Linked DNA regions of Oreochromis niloticus. The protein of the gene in region 1 interacts with the protein of each later gene in a pairwise test. Links are inferred from orthologs where the notes say so. Each region holds a gene or a part of one and is shown on either strand. Other genes may lie near its edges.

Evidence for each region.
Region 2: the proteins of sergef (region 1) and dph3 interact in binary tests that used the Homo sapiens proteins (3 or more experiments, as listed by UniProt). The link is inferred for Oreochromis niloticus from reciprocal best matches to the Homo sapiens genes SERGEF and DPH3.

Annotation. Positions count from the first base shown.
Region 1 is NC_031972.2:50,492,813-50,504,049, reverse strand, and holds the start of sergef (secretion-regulating guanine nucleotide exchange factor), read left to right. Parts: upstream 1-6,778; 5' UTR 6,779-6,892; coding exon 6,893-6,900; intron 6,901-7,080; coding exon 7,081-7,174; intron 7,175-7,450; coding exon 7,451-7,589; intron 7,590-7,927; coding exon 7,928-8,080; intron 8,081-8,625; coding exon 8,626-8,720; intron 8,721-8,887; coding exon 8,888-8,948; intron 8,949-9,390; coding exon 9,391-9,504; intron 9,505-9,596; coding exon 9,597-9,659; intron 9,660-9,901; coding exon 9,902-10,060; intron 10,061-10,148; coding exon 10,149-10,315; intron 10,316-11,237. Other genes in the region: tph1a (tryptophan 5-hydroxylase 1a), read left to right, coding at 413-502, 2,335-2,469, 2,569-2,752, 2,839-2,939, 3,033-3,100, 3,181-3,377, 3,475-3,610, 3,695-3,821 and 3 more. UniProt on the Homo sapiens protein: Probable guanine nucleotide exchange factor (GEF), which may be involved in the secretion process.
Region 2 is NC_031986.2:28,440,515-28,452,088, forward strand, and holds dph3 (diphthamide biosynthesis protein 3), read left to right. Parts: upstream 1-6,564; 5' UTR 6,565-6,676; coding exon 6,677-6,784; intron 6,785-10,095; coding exon 10,096-10,170; intron 10,171-10,680; coding exon 10,681-10,749; 3' UTR 10,750-11,352; downstream 11,353-11,574. Other genes in the region: adhesion G-protein coupled receptor G7-like, read left to right, coding at 1,832-2,175, 2,293-2,374, 2,646-2,934, 4,020-4,139.

The DNA.
Region 1 (11,237 bases):
GGTGTCAGCAAGCAATAAGAATGACCTCTGTGTGCCAATCTAACATGAGTTCACATTTGATATATTTAGTGATAGTTAAATAATTCAAACATTTAAAAGAGAGAGAGAGCAAAGCTTCCTAATAGGCGTGAAACGTGATTGGTATTCTCTCAGTAAAATCTGATTTCGTGACTGATCGGGCCTTTCGGTGAATTAAAAAGACACCCCTTTCCCCCTAATGATGTGGGCGGTGCTGCTGCTCCTTTTCCATTTGCTGCTTTGGGTGAGCTTATTGCCCCCTCCCTGTTTCTCTGTGCGGTTAAATAGCACGGCGCTCCACTCCACAGTAGACACCCCACTTTGCAAAGAGGAAAGCCAACTAAATAAGAAGGCCTAAAAGGAAAAAAAAGAAAAAGAACAGCAGCACTTTAACATGTACTCAAACAAAATCGAAGGACCACGTAGAGGAAGATCTTTTGACTCTATGAACCTCGGCTTCGAAGAAAAATTGCTGAACAATGAGGTAAGAAGGTCACAGAAAGAGAAGAAGAAGGAAGGTTTTATTATTCTAGAAGATATATCTTAAAGAAACTCATTTATCTTCGATAAAATAATAGAAACAAACAGGATGAAGAACTTTTGCTTTGTTTTGTTTTTAAGTGACTTTTTTGGACAGTGGTGGGGAGATCGGTGCGGGTCATCTTAACGAATAAGCTTTCACTTTGTCGTCAGCGCAGATTAATTTAAGCCGTTTTGTTATACCGTAATTTACGTCAAAGAGTTAAGAGGGTTAAAGAAAGAGAGACATCTGAATTTGGTATGATAAAAGAAGCTTCAGTGCTCACGCTGAGCAACCTTCGCAGACAGAGGAGATAAAAGATAAACCGATCAACCTGCAGTATGTGATGTCTCCAAGCACATGCAAGGGGAAAAAAGAAAAAGAAAACGCTGACAGGTACTCCAGGACAATATCTCATCTGTTTTAGACATGGAGATAAAACGAAAAACACACATGTTTAAACTGAAATTTAAAAAAAATCAACGACGTTTAAGGCAGTTTTCACAGCGGAAAACGTCACTAAATCATATTAAAGTAAAAGATGGACAAATTATACCCCCATGCATGCAGATGCAAATGTGATCACACCTGTTTAAAAAAAATTATTTTTTTTTTTATAAGTTTCTCGTTGATACCCCTGGATTAAAAAAAAAAAGATGATATCTTTTTATTTCGTATTTATTTCACAACTATAAAAAGTAAAGTATTTGATGAGGGGAAGCGATGTTCTCCCACTTAACGGCCTAAAAAACGTGCGCGCTATAGTGATTAAGAGCTTCCCTAACGTGTGGCGAGATTTCAGAGTGGAGGGGAGCTAATAATAGGCTTCCCCGCTCTCCAAATGAGATTGCTGTAAGGCGATTCCTTGAGGCAGAGACAAGTTCATCTTCGTTAAACCGAGACGCAAAAAATTGACCTCAGGCAGCGTCCTGATCCAGACTCCATGCACTAATGCTTTCAGGGATACTACCGGCAAGGGCTTACCGAAAACTGGTGTGCCGCGCGGTCTACACCATGTACGAAGGGCGAAGTGTGGTAGGAAATAATTTAACTGAATTTAATTGTTTCACGTGAGGGGCGTGATCCTTTTAATCCCGTCTAAACGTTGGACTTTGGCATTATGTGCTAATTGTTTGATGACAAATTCTAAAGTATTTTGGGGGGGAGCGGGGGTTAAGTTTGTTTGTTTTTTTTGTTTTTTAAAATTTCTTAATAAGCAGTATCAGTATCAGCAGTAAAGGATAAGACTTTGGAGTCAATCAAAACAGATTAGTTATTCTGTACTGTTGGCATCTTAACAGCCTCGCTGCTAAAATCTGAGGCAGGATTAAAATAATTTTCCCCTGGCGTGTGCAGCGCGCACAGGCACGCGTCAACGTGAGAGCGCTATCCGAGGTGCTGAACTGGACAAAGAAGTTGGTCAGCCTTAATCTGAGCCCTGCCTGTGCGCATGCACTGCACTTCCATTACTCATTTTTTACACCAGCGATATCAAGAAAAAGCCAATGATTCCCTTTAGAGTAACAAATATACCTGCCAGTGTATGTTTTAAACACTGACTGACTGTCTGCAGTTCTTTATATTTATAGGATTACTATTGTTGTTATTTAGGATGGTTTTATAGTCTTAAGTAATTAGAAGCTCTGCATCAAGTCTGTGGATAAGGGTATTATGTAGACTTTATTATTATTTTAAAGCCAATTTAAATTGGCTAGCAAAAGTTCATTTGCTCCACTGTTTTTTTTTCTCCCTATTAAACACACCTGAATTTCTCTGTGTTTGTTGATCATTTTCAGATAAACAAGTCAACCTTTACCAAAATTGAAGAAAACAACGAAAAGAAGAATTCATCAGAGAAAGGGAGAGCGACAATCATCTTTTCCTTGAAGAATGAAGTTGGGGGGCTTGTAAAGGCACTCAAACTCTTCCAGGTACATCCCCCAACCCTGCTCCTTTTTACCGAATGACTTGATTGCGACACATTTTTAGCTTTGAAATGAATAAAGAATTCTTTTGTTTTATTCTCGCAGGAAAACCACGTGAACCTTGTACACATTGAGTCCAGGAAATCCAAAAGACGCAACTCTGAGTTTGAAATTTTTGTGGACTGTGACAGCAACCACGAGCAACTGAATGAAATCATCCAGCTGCTTCGGAAGCATGTGAATGTGGTGGATATGGAGCCTCCAGATAACTCCTGTCTACGCGAGGAAGGTGAGAAAGTAGTGAGTGAATACACTCCAGATGCTGAATTAAAGGTACAATATTAGATTTGAACACCTTTTTTCTTCTGTTCTCAGATATGTATGAAGTACCCTGGTTCCCAAAGAAGATTTCAGATTTGGATAAGTGTGCTAACCGAGTCCTGATGTATGGATCTGAACTGGATGCCGACCATCCGGTACATTATCAACATGCTGCTTCACTTCAGAAAACAAAACCAAACTCCCTTAAAATGAAGCATTCTCATATTTCCTACGTTTCTCTTTATCAGGGTTTCAAGGACAATGTCTATCGGAAAAGGCGAAAGTATTTTGCAGATCTTGCCATGGCCTACAAACAGTAAGTTTTGATCTATTTAAATGTCTATTGTATTTTTAAAAAATCATGATTCTTATGGAGTTCTTTCTGTCTTTTTCCAGTGGAGATCCCATTCCTCGTATTGAGTTCACACAGGAGGAAGTGAAGACTTGGGGTGTTGTGTACAGGGAGCTCAACAAGCTGTACCCCACCCACGCCTGCCGGGAATACTTGAAGAACCTGCCACTGCTGTCCAAATACTGTGAATGTCGAGAGGACAACATCCCTCAGCTGGAAGATGTCTCACGCTTCCTCAGGGGTAAATTATCAATTTTGATTAAAATATTCCTTTGATTTAAATCATTTTGTTCACTTTTAACAGTGCAATCACTCATATATTTTCACTATCTTTTCAGAACGTACTGGATTTACCATCAGGCCTGTGGCAGGTTACCTGTCCCCCCGTGACTTTCTTGCTGGTTTGGCATTCCGCGTTTTCCACTGCACCCAGTATGTGCGGCACAGCTCCGACCCCTTGTACACCCCTGAACCGTGAGTACTAACCAAAACTATATCTAAATATGTAATGTAAATGTTAATTCTGGTTTTAATATTTGGTTTTCTTTTATTATTAAGGGACACATGCCACGAGCTGCTGGGCCACGTCCCGCTGCTCGCAGAGCCCAGCTTTGCCCAGTTTTCTCAGGAGATTGGTCTCGCTTCACTTGGAGCCTCCGATGATTCAGTTCAAAAACTGGCCACTGTAAGAGTCACTGCTGCAATCTAATTTTCAAACAATATTTATGAAGATATTTCTTTTTCAAAATCCAACAAGGTCATCCTAATTGCTTGTGTTCGTCTTCTGGGTTGCAGTGCTATTTCTTCACTGTGGAGTTTGGTCTATGCAAACAAGAGGGGAAGCTGCGAGCTTATGGAGCTGGACTCCTGTCATCTATCAGTGAGCTCAAGGTAGACATCCAAACAGGATGGTACAGTGGGCACCTTTACACAAAGAGCTTTAAAAACACAGACAGAATAGTCTTTTTACGTTATAATCTTGATCAAATTCCACCTCAAGACACATAATAAAGAATCTTTATTTGATGAGAAAATATAGATGTACATTTATTAAATGATCAAGTTGTGTTTTCAACATCTCCACTGTGTTTCTCTCTGACAGCATGCGCTCTCTGGTAATGCAAGGATAATGCCTTTTGACCCCAAAATTACATCCAAGCAGGAATGCATCATCACAACGTTTCAAGATGTCTACTTTGTGTCAGACAGCTTTGAGGAGGCCAAAGTCAAAATGAGGTGAGCTTAATTACTCAGCATTTAACTTGTACACTATAATATATAGATAGACCCAGCAAGAATAGCAAGTAGGCTTTTTAAGCTAAACTGCTGATTGCATATTATTTAATATTTTGTTCATTTCAGGGAGTTTGCCAAGACCATCAAGCGTCCCTTCACAGTTCGATACAACCCCTACACCCAGAGTGTGGACGTGCTAAAAGACACTCCCAGCATCAACAGTGTGGTGGAGGAGCTGCGACACGAGCTTGACATCGTCGGTGACGCACTCAGCCGGCTGAACAAACAGCTGGGTGTCTGACTGCGCACAGTTCACATGGAGTTACACCGACAGTCTGTCATCCCCGGCACTGCTGTAGAGACGTTGCTTGTGTGTTGTCCTTTGCCAGTAACATGAATGAGCATCGGTTTTAAGCCAAAATGCTCTGTTGTCTCCACTGCATGGTTTATATAGCTTACACAATTTACAGGTGCACTAGGTATGTTTAGACACTAACTTTAAGATATTTGACAAACCCAAAGAGCTGCTTAATCTGAGGTACTATTTGGCTTCTATGTTGCAAACAGTTTATGTGCTTTGATGGTACTTCAGTTCACTTTTGAAACACTTCCAGCTGTTACAGACACCTCCAATTGTTATTTCTGCTTTTGTATATGATTGTGTGAGTTTTCTTTTCTTTTTTTGTAATTCATTTCATTCTTCTTCTTCATGTTTAATACTCCTCTCTTCAATGAAATGTTTAAAATGTACCTTCTTTGTATTTGTCTTTTGGTGTGTGTGTAATTTTCCTTTTTTGTGTGCTGTTGAGGGAAATTATGAAAGTGACACCTTTAAATAGCTGTTGTTATAAGAATGCTCTTGTGATTGATTATGATCGATTTGGCCCATGTCAGCGATTACTTTACAGTGATGATTTTGAATACCTCCTGTTGAAGTGAATTCAATTGTAGAACTCCAGAAATCAAGACATTATTTTTCTACTGTAAAGAAATATAGACATTAGAACTAGGGTTGTGAATCAAACAAAAAAAATTGAATAAAAAAGTCCTTTGTGTGTTTATAGCATGTCAAACAGTTGTTTAATTGTTGATTTACTACTTTTATTAGTCCTTGTGGATGTAACTTTGTTATTGAATCCTGAGGATGATGCTGCTGTTGATGATAGAGATGCAAGATGATGGCAGCGAAGACTCTGAAAGTGATTATAACAATTATTTTGAGGCTGGAGTTTGCAAAATCTCAATAAAGTGTTGTAGAAAAAAATATGCCTTTGATCTGAGAGCCAAGACACTTATTGCCTAATGAAAAAGTCCAATCGGGAACAGAACTTTCCAAGACAGGTAGCAGAAATATCAAGCCTGACTCTTAAACGCATTTCGTGGACACGTAAATGGCGTCATACAATTTTATTTTCTATTATGTTGTTATTATTATATTTATATTATTTATTTATACTTTGAGGATGTGATGAATGAAGACCGGAAAGGTGCTAGGTCCAGATGATAAACGTGGCGATAACGCACATGCAAGGGTGCCAATAGAGGAACCGCACCAGAGAAATATGTGAGGGTAGTGCAGGACATCTATAAGGACAGCAAGACAGTGGTGAGGTGGGGGTGGGATAACATCAGAGACTAGCCCTTGTTGTTTTCAGTGGTGGTGGACAGACTGACAGAGGTCAGGCAGGAGTCTCTGTAGACAATGATGTTTGCAGACAGCAGTATGATTTGTAGTGAGAATAGAGCAAGTGGAAGAGAGCCTGGAGAGATGGAGGTATGCTCTGGGGAGAAGAGGTCACTAGAAGCAAGACAGAATAGATATGTGTGAACAGTGTTACAGTGAAGATGCCAGGAGGAGGCAGCAAAGGTGGATGAGTTTGAATACCTGAGGTCAGTAATCCAAAGGAACAGACAGAGCAGAAAAGAGTATTTACTGCCCAGCTTAAGAAATTGGTCTGATTTAACACATTAAAACTATAACTTCAAGAAATGATACACATAAGGGTAGCTCATATTGAAAAGGTGAATCAAATTAAAACTTAGGCATAATAGTGCTGCCCAGATTATTCTAAATTTGTCACCTGAAGAATTTGATCATTTAACATTAAAGTCGTTTTTTGTGAAGCTGTAGTCTCTTCTGTAGTGGCGTTACAATCGATACTGAAATATCGATTCCTCCGATACCAGATATTTATAATCTAGAATTGATTCTCATATTAAAATATCAACATTTTAGTAATGTGAGGTAAATTTGTAGTTTATGATTAACAAAAACACATGGGAGCGTAACTGTATTATTGGGATCCTAGGGACTACTTCCACCTGTCGTGGTGATATGCGAAATACGGTGGTATAAATGCATCAGGGCTTATGTGTGTTCACTCTCTCAGTCAGTGACAGTGGGTGATAGTAAGGCGAGTCACGTGTGGAGCTATTTCAGCTCCACAAACAGCCAAGACGTGGTTTGGGAAAATCACAAACTTTGTCAAACACAAACAAGTTAATCATAACGATGAGTTTATGTTGAGGTGAATGTCAATTGTGGAGTCCTTTGGTGCTTCAGGCAGGTTGTAGTATCCTGCTTTAAAAAATCCACCCATTATTTTACCATATATTATGTATCTGTATGTTAGATATTGTTAGATATTACATTTCTAAAAAGTCATAACTTAGTTTGTAACTTTTGCCACTCATATATCCGTTTCAAGCGCCTTCGCGACAGTGTCGCAAAGCATACTTGAGTGTTTAGCCCAGATACTCATGGAAACACACGCACGGTTGGAGTTTTGTTTACATTCTTGGGTAAGTTTGTTATATTGAACGGTACACTGTAAAAGTCACGTATATCTGGTTGTGTAATTCCTTTATTTGAATGCAAGGAACAAAGTGACTCTTCAATTGGAAACGCAGAAGACGTAGCACTTTTGCTAACGTTAGCTTAACTAGCGTCCAAACTTACTGTCTTTACAGGTGAGGCGACAAAAAACAGATGTTAACATCTGGTTCACGCTCACCTGAGCACTGATAGTAGTTGTCGGTCTGTCATATACTTTTATTGAGCTGTGCTGTTTCTGTCAGGGAGCCAACAGTTACGGGCAACTGAGCCAGGGACATGTGGAGGACCAGGCTTCGCCCCGGCTCTCTAACATTGCTGCCCTACAAAACAGGCCAGTCCGGGCTATCAGCGGCGGTGGGGGACATTCCGTAGTTATTACCGGTACGTAGCCTTTCGTCCTATATTAAACACAAACTTCAGCCCACCTGCGAATGATGACGTTTTTAGTCGGTTGTGGTAATGTGAGCAAGACTTTCATAGGTCACGTAGCGCCTCCTTCTGGCCAGTGAAATTAATTGTTTGTTTGTTTTTATGTTGATAATCTGTTTAATGCAAAAAATTATAAATGATCTAACAGCAAACGGTAGAAGCAAACTTCCACTCAGTTCAGTCTCGTCTGTTTAAGTAAATGTCTAGAGTGAGTGTGCAGGTGTAACTGTCCCAAAAATAACACATCTAAGTAAAATCTTTGATTGTTCCCATGTTGCTGTGCTGGACAGAGAGTGGCGAGGTGTTTGTGTGTGGACAGAATAACAGAGGCCAGCTGGGACTTGGCCACAGTGCAGACATCTCAACTCTTCAGCACTGCCCCATCCTGAATCAGAGAGTCACAGACATCGCCTGTGGTTGGGATTTTACTCTTCTTCTCACTGGTGAGCAGTCAGCACCGTTTCCTACCAGGAATTTTTCCTCATTTCTATTTGTACTCTGTTTAAGGGTGATATTGCTAGCCAAAACACAGGTGTTTCTTTTGGGCAGGGATAATAGATCTTTTATGGCAATGTTAGTTTTTATTCTAATATAACATTTTATTATATTTGAATAATACAATAGATGAATTGTATATAAAATAAAATAATATAGCTGTGTTATATTAGAACCTTCATCATATTATATTATATTAGATCTAATTTTCCTGAAAGTGCAGATATATTACACTTAGACCATTATGATACATATGTTTCTAGAAAAAGGGTGAAAAAAACTCACATTTATTGCTATATTGTCAACAAAAAAAACCCTACATATTTAACACAGTCAACCCATGCTTGAGGAATTAAACAGAGCATAGCTGAGAAACAGTAAGAATGGGAATAACAGAGGTCACCTTAACTACCTTCCACTCACCCAAAAGCGGAATTTTTCAGTGTGTCTTAGATAAAGGCATATTTCTTTTCCTGTTATGGCACACTCTCAGACGGTGGGCAACTATTAGCATGTGGTTCCAATGTGTTTGGGCAACTGGGTGTTGGACAGACTGTGACACACTCTGCAGATCTACTGGTTGTTGAGGTGAGAACACAATGGGGGTGCAGTTTTTATAAAGTAAAGGTTTTAATTTTTTTTTAATACGCATTCAATACATCTTGAGTGATCTGCATTAGTATAAATTATCTTTACTTACCTGCCATCTTAATCACTTTCATTAAGGCAGATGTCATTGTGCTGTTTGTTGACAGAGTCTGATGGAGCCAGTAGTTAGTGTAGCAGCAGGACTCCGACACTCACTTGCTGTTACTGGTAAGGTAGCACTGTGAACTGCCCTCATGTTTTTTTAACATCTGGTTACATGATTGGTTTGTTTTGCCTGTCTTTATGTTTCTTTGTCTGTATGTTTCTTAGCTGTATTTATAAAAAAAAATATATATATATAGTATGAACTTGCATGAAAACTTTATCAGAGTTGGGAATTAGAATGGATTACATTTCTGGACTCAGTCCAAATCTGGATCCTGAAAAATGGGATATCTTCCAAAATGCATATCGAATTTAAACTTTGGCTTGATGTTCTAAAGAAAATACCATAAACCAGTCTGCATCCAGATATCTTTCATCTCATAGGACTTAGTGCATGCATGGTGTGAAGGGAATTTTCAGTCTTGGTGGAGGTATGCACTCTGACTGCTCCTGTTTTTCATTTGACAGTGAAGCCGTAAATCCTGTAATTCTGTTTGACTTTCAGGCTCAGGCTGTGTTTATCAGTGGGGAACTGGTCTTTTCAGTTATGCTAAGAGAGCACTCAGTCCACATGCTGTCCCATCTCACTTTAACTCTAAGGTGCCCTGTCTGGTACCAGGTAACGTAAGCTGTACTGAACATAAATAATTATTAATTTATTCTATTATTGGTGATTTGTAGATGTGACAGATATTTATGACCTTGTTGCAGGTCTGGATCAAAGAATATCACACCGGGTAACTGCAGGGTCAGCACACTGTGTGTGCCTTACAGGTAGGACGGTAGTGAGTTGCTTCAATATGTTGTGCAAAAATAAGCTATGTATTTTGCACTGCTCATTCATAGGGACAATTTACACTCATAAGCACTACCACTGTCTTGATCTTCTTTATCATATATCAAGTCTGCCCTCTCTGATGTCCTGTAATTAGTTCACCAGATCATCTCAATTGCTGTTCTGCTTTTCTGCTGCCTGTGCTGAATGAAGAGTAATGCTGTCGCTGTCATGTGTGCAGGAGATGGCGATTTGTTTCTGTGGGGAAGCAACAAGCATGGTCAGCTGACCACCACAGAGTCCTTCCTGTCTTCTCCCACTCTTCTTAAGCGATCTCTGCTGGATGGAGAAAAAGTGATAAATGTGTGGAGCGGCTGGACTCATATTGTTGCTCAGACAGGTACTCGGGTCTGTGATGTTCAGTAGTTTTTACAGGATTTAGAGGACAGTTGCTCAAACTGAAAAAACAATTCCATTATCTGTTTCAGAGAGCGGGAGAGTGTTCACATGGGGAAGGGGAAATTATGGACAGCTGGGCCGCCAAATATCAGCCAGTGAGGACACAGAGCAGCAGCCAGCTGGCCCTGTGGCACAAGGTGGCACCCAGGAGGTTGGACTCCCTGCAGAGGTTGAAAACCTTCGTGGAGCAACACAGGTAGGAGTGTTTAGCACTTCGCCAGATGGCAGAACCTATAGCTGTGTTGCAGTCAGTAACAATTAAATGTTTCCTAGACTTGTGTTTGGATTGTTGGTCTTGAGGATAGTGCTGTGGAAATTAGTTTGAAAATGCCAGTAGACGTCCAGCAGGAGGCAGCAGACAGTTACAGTTAAACAAATTAGCTCTTGATTGTTTAGTATAAGGCGAAGCATGTTTCCCCTGAACAGAAGGTTCTTAATGATTTGCATAATTATCCCTTATGTACAAAGCATACTCACACTGTCATTATAGTTCAGCAGGGGAAAAAAACGACTTGTATTTATCAGTGAAGGCAGTTTTCTCTTCTCCCGTAAGGACAGTTACATGTGAATGGGATTGTAGCAGTTAACCTGTAGTCTCAATGGTGACACTATGGTCATTGCCAATAAAGCGGATGTCAGGGACAAACAAGGACAAGCGCTCCTTTCATCTTTCCACTGCGCGCAGATCATTGCAACAACACATAAGGTGTCAAAGCTTTGTCACCTTGCGTTTTGAGCATGAAGTAAGATGAATTGGCCGAGTGGGATATGAATCACTCAGGCCACCCTACTCTGTTAAAGCACTGTACATATACACTGACTGGCCACTTTTTAGGTACATCTACCAACAGCCAATCACATGACACCAACTCAGTGCATTTAGGTATGTAGACGTGGTCAGGACGATGTGCTAAGGTTCAAACTGAACATCCGAATGTGAAAGAAAGGTGATTTAAGTGACTTTGAATGTGACATGGCTGTTAGTGCCAGGAGGGAGCCATGTGAGCATTACTGATGGACAAATTTCAACCAGTCAGTGGTTCATGATCAGTGGGTCAGTTTCTGTTAATCACTTGTTTTCTTTGTCAAATACAGTGCTACATGCAGTACACTCATTT
Region 2 (11,574 bases), on another chromosome or scaffold:
CTTCTTCTTTCCATCCCCTCATCTCATCTATCACTCTCCACTTGCTGTCTATCTGAGAACAAGGCACAACTTGCTTTTGCAATAAACTATTATTTAATTATCCATACTTAACAACTCCTGCACTTAATCTATAATAAAATGATGACAGAAAAATGTTATAGAAGCAAAACATTTCAGTTGTGCTTATTATTATTTTTATACTGGAATACCTCTCCAACAACTGGTACATGTGTTAATGTTACCTGTGCTCTTTGTAATCCAGCTGCTGAGGGATCCACTGCCTTTAGTAGCCTCACACAGCTCCTACTGTTTCCTCCTCATGTCCTTACCAGCCATGTCTGGACAATGTTATATCATGAGTAATAATTTAAAAAATCTATTCACATAAAACACACACACGCACACAGTGACATTTTAGACCTTCTTCAGAATACTGTATATACTGTGGGCATCATGGTGCTGATCCAGAATCCTTGCCTTAATATTTATTACTAGAGCTACAATAATAAAGCAATGAGGGGGAAAAAAAGGAATAAATATGAAATAATGTATTTATGATGATTCCATTTGTTTCAAAAGCCCTGTAACTTACTCTGCCTCTCTTCCTCCTTCCATCTCCTCATCTAAGCTATCACTGTCCACTTGCTGTCTATCTGAGAACAAGACACAATTTGCTATCGAATTAATCTATTATTTAATTGTCCACACTTAAAAACTCTTGCACCTAATCCATAATAAAGTAATGACGGAAAATGTTGTAGAAACATCCTTACGAGGCATGTCTGGTCTGTGTTATATCATGTGTAATAATTTTTAAAAATCTATATACATAAAATTAAAAAAAAAATCCTCAACAAAAGGGCACTTTGGGCACCCATCAGGAAAGGGGCGGGTGCTCAAGCCCTTCTGCCCCCGCCTCTGCACGTGCCTGCAGCAGAGTGAAGAGAGTCTTATAAAGCCAATTTTTAGATCACTGCTGGGTCCAAACAAAGCACCTGAAGGACTCTCAGAACATGAGAAGCAAAATTCTCTGGTCTGATGAAACAAACATTAAACTCTTTGGCCTGAATCTGTAAATGTGGGAGTGTTATTGCCTCATCTAGAGCCCAGACTTGAACTCTATCAAATGTCTCTGAAAAGGGCTGCCCACTGACAGGGCTCATTCAACCTGAGTTTAAAGGAATTTTAAAGAAGAGTGTCAGAAAATTCCCTAATCCCATGTGCAAAGTTTGTGACATCATAATTAAACAAACTCAAGGCTGTAATTGCTGCCAAATGTGCTTCAAGTAAGTACTAATTAAAGAGTGTTATGGTATTGAGAATATTTCAGATTTTTTTTTATTAATGAACTTAAAAAATGTTGTTTTCAGTTTGTCATTAATAGAGAACTGAGTGTAGATTAATGAGAAAAAATATATAATTAAAAAAAACTGTATTATCAGAATGCAACATTAATATCAAAGTGAAGCCAGTTTAAATACTTTCTGAACATGGTTTCAAAACTACTTATGTGGTAGAAACAGCAGTGTCTAAAGAGTGCAGGAGAAGTGTCATTGCCATAAATACAGGTGCTCCACATAGACCCATTCTTGGATCTCTTAAATTCACCTCATACACAAAAATGAAAACTGTTTGATTTGTAAAATAAACACAGGAATCAAATTTTGCAACATTGAAATGTTGTTTTCAGCCTTCTAATTATGTATTTGTGTATTTTTGTATTTATTTATTTTTAATCTCATTTTTAAAATTTAATTGACAAGTATTTCTTTTACTGTTTTCCTTTAGGACTTCATGTTATGATGTGTAACTTTTTCATTTTCATCTGTAGTTTTCAGAAAGAAGAGCAGACCAACCTGACATCAGTGCAATCTCGGCTGTGCATCTACTTCAGCCTGCTGGCCTTCATCATCACCTTTGTCTCTGGAGTCCAAAACTCCAGCAGACAAATTGACATTGAGGTGCAGACTGACGATCGGACCAACAACCTCTTGGACTCGGACGAACACGTAGAACCAGACCGTGGTTCGTGTACGGCTGTAGCAGCTCTGCTGCACTTCCTCCTGATGACCACCTTCATGTGGAACAGCGTGAACGGTACTCAGATCCTGATTCAGAAAATGCGCCGCAGTCTACCACCTCTCTGGACTCTGCTGAGCATGGCTCTGGGATGGGGTAAGACATTCAGAAAAATCAGTTCACGCATCTTAAACTGATTTGGACTTAAATCTGACAAGCTGTTTATTCTTGAAAACCCTTCAATCTCTCTCAATTAATGAAATATTATGTTAGGAGTGCCAGCCTTGATCGTGGCCATCACACTGGGGGTGACCTACAGGGTGAACAATCCTCTGGGATACAGACAGGAGGAATTGTGGGTAATCACACAAACCACATTTAGCTACTTTAGACTGACCTGTACTTCACAATGAACAAAAGTCCCATTTTTACCAATATTACAGTGTTGTTGTTGTATGACGCTACTCACAGAGATTCAATTTGATACAATCATTCTCCTGTACAACTTGTTTAATTAATTTTTTTATCTTTACAAACTTTACAATGGTTCTTCTTCGTTTTTACCAAAGGTTAGACAAAGTTATTTATTCATATTATTTGTATAATTCTTTTTCATGTTACTGAAGTTGCTGGCTGGCAGCGCTGGATAAGAACAAACACTTCAGCTTTGAGAAACCTTTGTTTTGGGGTTTCCTCCTTCCAGTCGGCCTGATCTTGATCTACAACATCGTCCTGCTGGTTTATGTGTCCATTAAAGCAACCAGGAAGTCCTGCTTCAGGAAGAGTTTCCTTGAATGCTTCACTCTGGCTGTGTTACTGGGTGTGTCCTGGGTTTTTGGGTATCTGGTCCTTGTCACTTCAGGAACAATGAACCTGGTCTTCAGCATTTTGTTCTGCCTCTGCACAACCACACAGGTAAGACTCTACCTTCTGAGTTTAAAACTTCAACTCAGAGTTTTTGGTTAAATCTCACTGAATCTCTAATTTCATGTACAAAGTAGAAATATAACCTACAAACCAATGTGAGATGGCTAAGAGATGGATGGAGGGTTATGATATGTGAGACACTTTGATAAACATCTCTTTAAATGAATACTTATCAAATATTAATGATAATTGACAGGGCAACTTTACATAAAAAAAACCAAACAAAAAATAATTATTTTTGATATGACACACACACACACACACACACACACACACACACACACCACAAACGATTATTTTGATAGTCAACTAGTCACCGATTATTTTTGCGATTAGTCGACTAATCAGATAATGCATAATAAGAGCAGATGATAGTTTATTAAATTTTTAATGAAATTTCCAGATTGTCTCGGTGGAGTTTAATAAACTCAGCCGTCTGCTTCTTGCTATCTAAAATATAACAGGACACTGGAGTATATTCTCTACCATAGGGGTGTCCAAATTCATGGGCTGCATCCTCCTGAGGCCGCATTTGTAGGCCGATTACGTCACAGCGACGCGACGAAGGTAGACTCCTCTGAATGCAGCCGACAAATCCCAGATAGCAAGGAGACATTGAACTGATGTTGATTTTTCATCTGATCCATCATTGTCAGGATTGAAATGTCAATGAAAAATCAAACTAAGGAACAAATAAAACACTGAAAAAAGCCAAACAATAACATTTTCAATTTATCTAAGTGGCTTATACATCATGTTTAACCTGAGTAGCAAAAGACCGCGGTGGGTTTGAAAACGATGTGCCGGGAGTTCGATGTTCTTGCCGGCTCTAGTGAGCCTTGAACCCCAGCTAGCTATCGAACTCGTGGGTAACAGATGTCTCCGAAAACGTTGGAGGCACTTTTACAAATATGTGATGTGTTGATAAACCGAGCAGATATTTGAAGTGTATGTATAATATATATATATATGACTACATATAAAATAAAAGAAGCTCCTAACATTAAGGTGAATAAGGAATAAGGAAGCAGACTGAAAGGAATAACTTTTATTTTCCTGCTCTGTGTTTTCAGGGTTTTCATATTTTTATCATCACAGCCACAACACCGACCTTCAGAGCCGCCATGTCCCGATCAGTTCAGTACCTTTCTTCAGCCAGGCCGATTCGCAGAAACACAAGGATGAGGTCATGACAAGCAGCTGACCCATGACCTGGGGATGATTTTAAGAGGGTCTGCATTAAATTATTTTTGATGTGAACATAAACAAAATAACTGCATCAGAGTCAATTGAAAATCACAGTCATGATCACATCAACAATAAACCTCCAGGACAGTCACGTGTTCAGGAACAGACTGCAGGTATGAAGACTGAAGATTTTATGAAGATTTTATTGTCATTTTAAGCATTAGTGTTATTCTGCAAGCTGCTCGTTTTACTGATCTGAAGCGATTAATGTTGGTAAAAGTGTCTACACTGGCCTTGTAACGAACTACAGTGACCCAGGTGGAAAAAGCAGTAACTATTCCTGCTTCCTGATCATTCTGATCTGACATCAGACTCGAGTTCAGCAGATATATATACATATACACACACATGTATAATGGTAAAGGAAAACAAACAAACAAACATAATTTTAATGTCTTTTTTAGGTCTAAATTTGGTCTAATTGGTCTGAACTGGTCTTTTAAGGGAATAAACTGGTTTCAAATGGTCAGTCATTTTTAATTAATGGAATAATTTATTCTTACTAAATGTTGATTATTTAAAAAAAACAACATGTTTTTTTATGGTCTGTGCTCTAATTAAAATTGGGGGGGGGGTTGTTATCTTTTGTTGGCTGCTTTGATTCTATGTCATCTTACAGACTGCAGACAATCCAATGAAAATAATCATATATAAAATATATAATGTAATCCAAGAAAGCTTCTGAAAAAAGCAAAAATACAACTTGCCTTTATGTAAGTGTCAATTTAGCAAGTTTCAATCTGATATTAACGTCTGCTCCAAACATAACGATTCGCTGAGATTAAAAGCCATCTCAAATAAAGGATCACAAAACTCCCATCACAGGCCTTCGGGGTAGCTTTTACCACCATGTTGTAGCAAAACAACACATCCTGTCACATGAAGACTGAGACAGAGGAAACTAAACTACCACCGATAATAAAAATACCATGAAGACCAAGACCATGAAACCAGAAACACAGGATGAAAAAACTGAAAGTCATCACTACAAGAACCAAGAACAGCAATCACAGAGTCATCATCACAAGAGCTAAACAAAACAAATCAAAACAAGAATCCAACAATTCAATAAACACAGAAATCAGAAGATTACAAAAATAAAAACAAGAAATCACAGAAAAATCATTTCAACCAAACCTGAAGATTAAATTAATGTCAGTCTGAGGTTTCAGTCTTTTAAACTTTATAAACAGGTGAAGAAAAAATACTGAATATCTTCAACTTTCATACCTGTAATATCAGCTCTATGTTCAAACTTCTGCTGCCACATCTCTACTGAGCATGTGCAGAGAAAGTTTCAGCACTCAGCTTGTTTCTGCTTGGAGGAAGTGAGAGCTTCCTGTGGACCGACAGGCTGTGGGCTGGGCCTTCGTTGTAGTCAGAGGTGATTCTGAGTCTGTTTGAGGCCTTTGGGGGAAAATGTCATTTTAATAACTTTTCACTGATCCAAACATATAAAATATCTTCCTTTGTATTTAATTTTGCAGCAGTTCGGAGATTTCAGTGATGATATGAGAGGTTTAATTTTTATTTGTTGGCTTTTATTTTCATTTTTTAATAAAGAAATCTTTATTAAAATTATTTTTGTCGACAGTGTTTCTACCTCGAGCCGTGTCACCAGAAAGTATGAAAACATTTTCATGAAATCATCTTCAGGTCATTTCAATCCATCATCACTGTCACGCTGCTTAGTGATCTGTTGATTTTCAGGTTGTGTGTTTGTTTTCCTCCTGCTCTGCTCCGTGTACGTTTTTTGTTGTTTGTTGCGAATTACCATCAATGAAAACTGAGTTTGGACCCGAATCCTGCCTGCCACACAGCCTACCCTCGACAATCTCAGCCTTGGTCTTAAATCACACTGAAATCATGTCAGCAGAGTTTCTGTTGGGCTCAAATTTAAACATTTTTGAATGGTGAGCCTCACCAGCACACACAACAACAAACGCCACTGAAAAACAGTCTAAAGGCTTCCGGAGTTTGCCCTTTAAAACTGATCCTCAACATCATCTAAATGTCTTCTTCTTATTATTATTCTTATTCTTATTATTATCAAATGTCTGGTTGACTTGTTGTATCTATTAATCCTTTACATATGTATTTTTTTAGTATTTATTATGAATATAAAGGTACAATGGTTGAAATTATATTAGCTGGGTTCTCTGATAAATTGGCTCCTTGTAGTGGACATGAGTGGGAACTACAAGCTACAGTCGTAGTTAAAAAAGGGCAAAAACACAATAAAAAAATTTTGTAGCTCTTTAAAACTCAATATTTTCACTATAACTTATTCTATTGTTCTTTTACTGCTCTTATTTTTCACTTTTCCTTATTTTACATTGACCGCGTTTGTGTTATTGTTTTGAGAGTTGCGTCACAGCGCTGAGTCAGAGGTTGTGTACGTCATCACACCGCGCTGCAGGCACGCTTTGCCGGTGCGGATCTGGCGCTGTTCTGTGTGGACTTTGCGTGTGTTTAGGGGAAAATGTCGGTGTTTCACGACGAAGTGGAGATCGAGGACTTTGAATACGACGAGGATACGGAGACGTATTACTTCCCGTGTCCCTGCGGAGATCGCTTCGCCATCACCAAAGTAAGTTCAGCTCACGGCTAACAGCTACAAACCAAACTTCAGTTTGAAATCTCCCGTTTTTACATGTTCATACAGTGGGTGATTTACACGGAGGACATAACAGAGTTCCCCACTCCCTTCATTGATATAGTCTTGTTCTGGTTTCGGCAGGGATTTTTTGATGGCAGGTTGATATATGTCCGTTTAAAAAAAAAAAAGTATTTCAACCTTCCTTTCGGAGTTGCCGCAGAGGTGGGACGTAAAATCTCTCATTATTTGACTGAAGTTTGGTTTGGTGTTAAGCTAAGATAAACTTTTATTAGTCCCACACGTGGGAAATTTGTTTGGTCACGACAAAAAAGTGGACAGTACAAAGTTAAGAGCAGCAAAAATAAAAAAAAAAAACACAAGAATAGAAAATAATAAACCAGCACCATACTTTATTCTCAGCAGTGAAACTCGACATCAGTGAACGGAACCAAACTCCATTTAAAAGTCTTCAAATTTAAGAGAGTAAAAACGTTTAAACAAATCAAAGCCTACTGAGTAATTATCAGTCATTTCTTGTGACATCATGAAACTTTATTTTACATGGTTTAAGGTAGAAAAGACGATATTTTAAGTAGTTTTTTTTTCTGAAATAGTAGAAACTTGTAGCTGAAGTGAACTTTAGCTCTCTTAAATTCAGGAACAAGATGACAGTTCACCATATCAAGACTTCCTTCATGTTAGCAGGCTGAAGAAATCCTAAAACTGCAGTGAGTTGCAGCTTATTTGTGGGTCTCTGCCTTCAGTGACTAAGAGTTGGCTCTTCTGTGCTGAAATCTGACATTTGAAGGATATCTAATTTCTTTGCAGGTAGAATACACGGATGTACAGGAGGGAAATTTAGACTTTTTCTAATGGAGTTTGGGTGTTTTTAGTGGTATGTCGTATACTGATGGAGATGATCTCTGTTTCTTTTTCTTTTCTTTTTGAAACAATAAAACAAAGAAACAGTTTGGAAGAAATGCACGCATGGATGCATCTGGCATACCTGAACACTCTAAAACTGAAACAGATACTCAGAATAAGCAAGAAGAAACTCAGACTTTATCAGTTTTAATAGTGTTTGCCTGCTCAGCACCATCCAAAGATTCATCCAGGAAAGTCCGACTTCATGACGAGTTCTTTATTTGTAATTCACGAAGCATCCCAAACTTGCGACTGCAGTCAGTGTCTTGCAGTTTTTACACTGTCCCTACACTTTGTCTGTCTGAACTCTGTTCCTCAGACTTGGTGGCTTTGCTGCAGTGCTCTGAGGGGAGAGTTTATTCTTACAGGCAGCATTTGTGTCGGGTGGCCTGTGGTACTTTTAATCCTGCAATTGTTTGATCAGGTAATGCGTTTTCTCCAAAGGGTGGCTGGCCTTTCCCTCAGAGATGGGGTGAGAAGGCCAGTCAGTTTGAGGGTGTCAGGTAAAGATGTTACTCCTGCACATTAAAAGGAGGCAGCTGAGGTGTTAAGATCACAACATACTGGGAGAACCCAGAACTACTGGAGGTAGCTGAGAGAGGGCTGCTGCCCCCATGACCCAGCCCCAGATAAGAGACAGAAAACGAATGGCAACATGTCGTAGATGGAGAAGAGTGACCGTACAATCTTGATGATTTCTTTTATGTGACAGGTGCACAGATTTCAGATCAGCCTGGCTACAGTGCTGAAGAGAAACCTGGGGTTGTTCTTATTTTCTTCAATCAGTGATGAGTAGTAAGCTGTTTAGCTTTATAGAGGACTTTCTTATAAAGCAACAAACTATTTCTCCAGGCTAAATGATGATCTTTTAAAATTGTGACACGCCATTTCCTCTCCAGCTTATGAGTTATCTGCTTTAGGCTACGTGTTTGAGAATTATACCACAGAGTCAGGTACTTCGGGTTTGAGACCTTAGTTTTCACAGGAGCTACAGTATCCAGAGTCGTACGTAGTGAGGAGGTAAAATTATTAACAAGACATTTGAGCCCTGTTGGAGTAGCGTTCAGGTAGCTGCTCTGGTCTATGTTGGTACAGGGCATTGAAGATGATAACAGTGGGTGGATTATATTCTTAAACTTAGTTACAGCGCTTTCAGAAAGACATCTACTTTGATAAAGTCTACTCTCCACTGCTGTGTAATCAATTATTGTAAATGTGAATGTTATCAGGAAATGATCAGACAGCAGAGGGTTTTCAGGAAACACTGTTAAATGTTCAGTTTCTATGCCATATGTTAAAACAAGATCTAGAGTGTGATTAAAGTGGTGGGTGGGTTCTTTTACATTTTGAGAGAAGCCAATTGAGTCTAATAACAGATTAAATGCGATGTTGAGGCTGTCATTTTTAGCATCTACATGGATGTTAAAATCACCCACAATAATTATTTTATCTGAGCTGAACACTAAATCAGATAAAAAGTCTGAGAAATCAGAGAGAAACTCTGTGTAAGGCCCAGGTGGACGATATATGATAACAAGTAAGACTGGTTTCTGAGTTTTACAGCTGGGATGGACAATGTTAAGCATCAGGCTTTCAAATGAATTAAAAGTCTGTCTTGGTCTTTCGTTGATTAATAGGCTGGTGTGAAAAATTGCTGCCACACCGCCCCCTCGGCCTGTGCTTCGAGGTTTCTGGTAGTTAGAATGACTCGGGGGTGTTGATTCATTTAAACTAACATACTCATCCTGCTGCAACCATGTTTCTGTAAGGCAGAGTAAATCGATTTGTTGATCAATTATTAAGTCATGTACTAACAGAGACTTGGAGGAGAGCGACCTAATATTTAATAATCCACATTTCACTGTTTTACTCTTTGGTTCAGATGTGGATACTGTATTGTTCTTTCTTTGTGATTTCTTTTTATGTTTAAGGTGTTTGTTGCTGGTTTCTTGTTTGTTTTTCATTTGTTTGGGAGCTGACACAGTCTCTATGGAGATGGGTTTTTGGAGGTAACAGGAGGAGAGAAGCTGCAGAGAGGCGTGTAAGACTGCCACTCTGCTTCCTGGTCCCAACTCTGGATAGTCATATTTTGGGGGGATTAATACATTTGGCCAGAATTCTCAAAATGAGAGCTTCTCCATCCAAAGTGGGATGGATGTCATCTCTCCTAACAAGACCAGGTTTCCTTCAGAAAGTTTCCCAGTTATCTTTGAAGCCCACATTGTTTTTTGGACACCACTCAGATAGCCAGCAATTTAAGGAGAACATGCGGCTAACCATGTCACTCGTGGACTGATTGGGGAAGAGAGGGGAATAATCCACAAAAACATTCAAACCTCGACAGAAACCTGAAGATTTTATTTGTTTTTATTTTGAAGGAGGACCTGGAGAACGGGGAGGAGGTGGCGACATGTCCGAGCTGCTCGCTCATCGTTAAAGTCATCTACGATAAGGTATCTGTGACTTCCTCTTTTCAGTTCATCCATAAAGGCCTCAACGAACAGTTATCTAAAAGGTTTCTTGTAAAGTGACGAAAAGCAGCAAATTCTCACTTTAGAGAAGCTGGAAATCACTTTGTTTTATTTAAAGTACCTTCAGTGTTTATTTGATCTAAAATGTTTCCTGTGATAACACCAGAATATTTCTCATTATTTGATCAGGACAGTTTTATATCGATCAGTTAAAACTTTCAAATAAAAAAAGATGATAGAAAAGAAAAGATGCAATGCAGCATCATAAAAACCTCTGAAAAGTACTTTTACATTACTTTTTTGTGTTGGGGACATTAAACCGTCATGCTTTTATTCTGCAAATCATTGGTGAATTGTTCGTGTAAATTATTGATTTTTTTTTTTTTTTTTTTTTTTTAAAAAAAGTACAACTTTAAATTTAAGACAGATGGATAGTACGGGCCGTCGCTACCTGTCAATGAATGACAGGCTTTTTTTGTGTGTGTGTTTCAGGATCTTTTCCAGGTTGGAGAAATCATTGAAGCTCCGTCACACGCCAAACTGGAGGTCGCTCAATCCTGAACCTTCTCACCTTTGACCTCACAGAGACCCCGGTTTAACCATTTCCCGTTTCCCATCTCGACGCTCTGTTCAAGTGGTGCTGGGAAACGCCAGACTTTCACTGCCTCCTGTATTTCCTCCAGATTTATCTTGAATGAAATCACACTTGATCCAGATGAAATCTTTCAGAAGACGCAAGGTCACGACGTTCATGTGTTTGATGGACTTCCTGCGGATTATGTGGGAGGACGAGCGTCTAGCCGAGGCATTTGCTGTGAACAGATGAAGGTTGCGCTTTAAAAAAAACAAAGCGTTGGTTCCTGCCTCAACCTCGCCGCTCTTAATGCACATTCAGTCTTCCACTTTAAAGCTCAGGAGGACGAAGGAAGCTCCATGTTAGGACTGGCAGGTTTCTTTAGAGCTTTTATTTTGTAGTTTTCAGATATTTTAATATATATATATATATTTATATAAAACCTCCACATACAGAGAGCCCAGGCACCCTCTCTAGGACAAACTGTGTGATGACACAATTACTGAATCAGTAATGTTTCGATCGATCAGCTGGCGTGTACTGATTGGCTCCATGGCGTCTCCGTGTGGTCAATAAAGTTTTTACTTAAACTTTTTGTCTGTTTGTGGATAATATGACCTTTGAACACAGAGTTAAAAAGTCTCTGTTAACACAATAAAAGCTTCACTCTGCAGTCAACATCTCTGAAAACTTTCAGAGAAAAAGCATGTGTGCGTCTTCCATAAAGCCCCGCCCCCCTCCGTCAGGTGAGAGTGATTCAAAGCAACATTCAAATTTTCAAACTCCAGATTTTTTTAATGGTCATGAAAAGT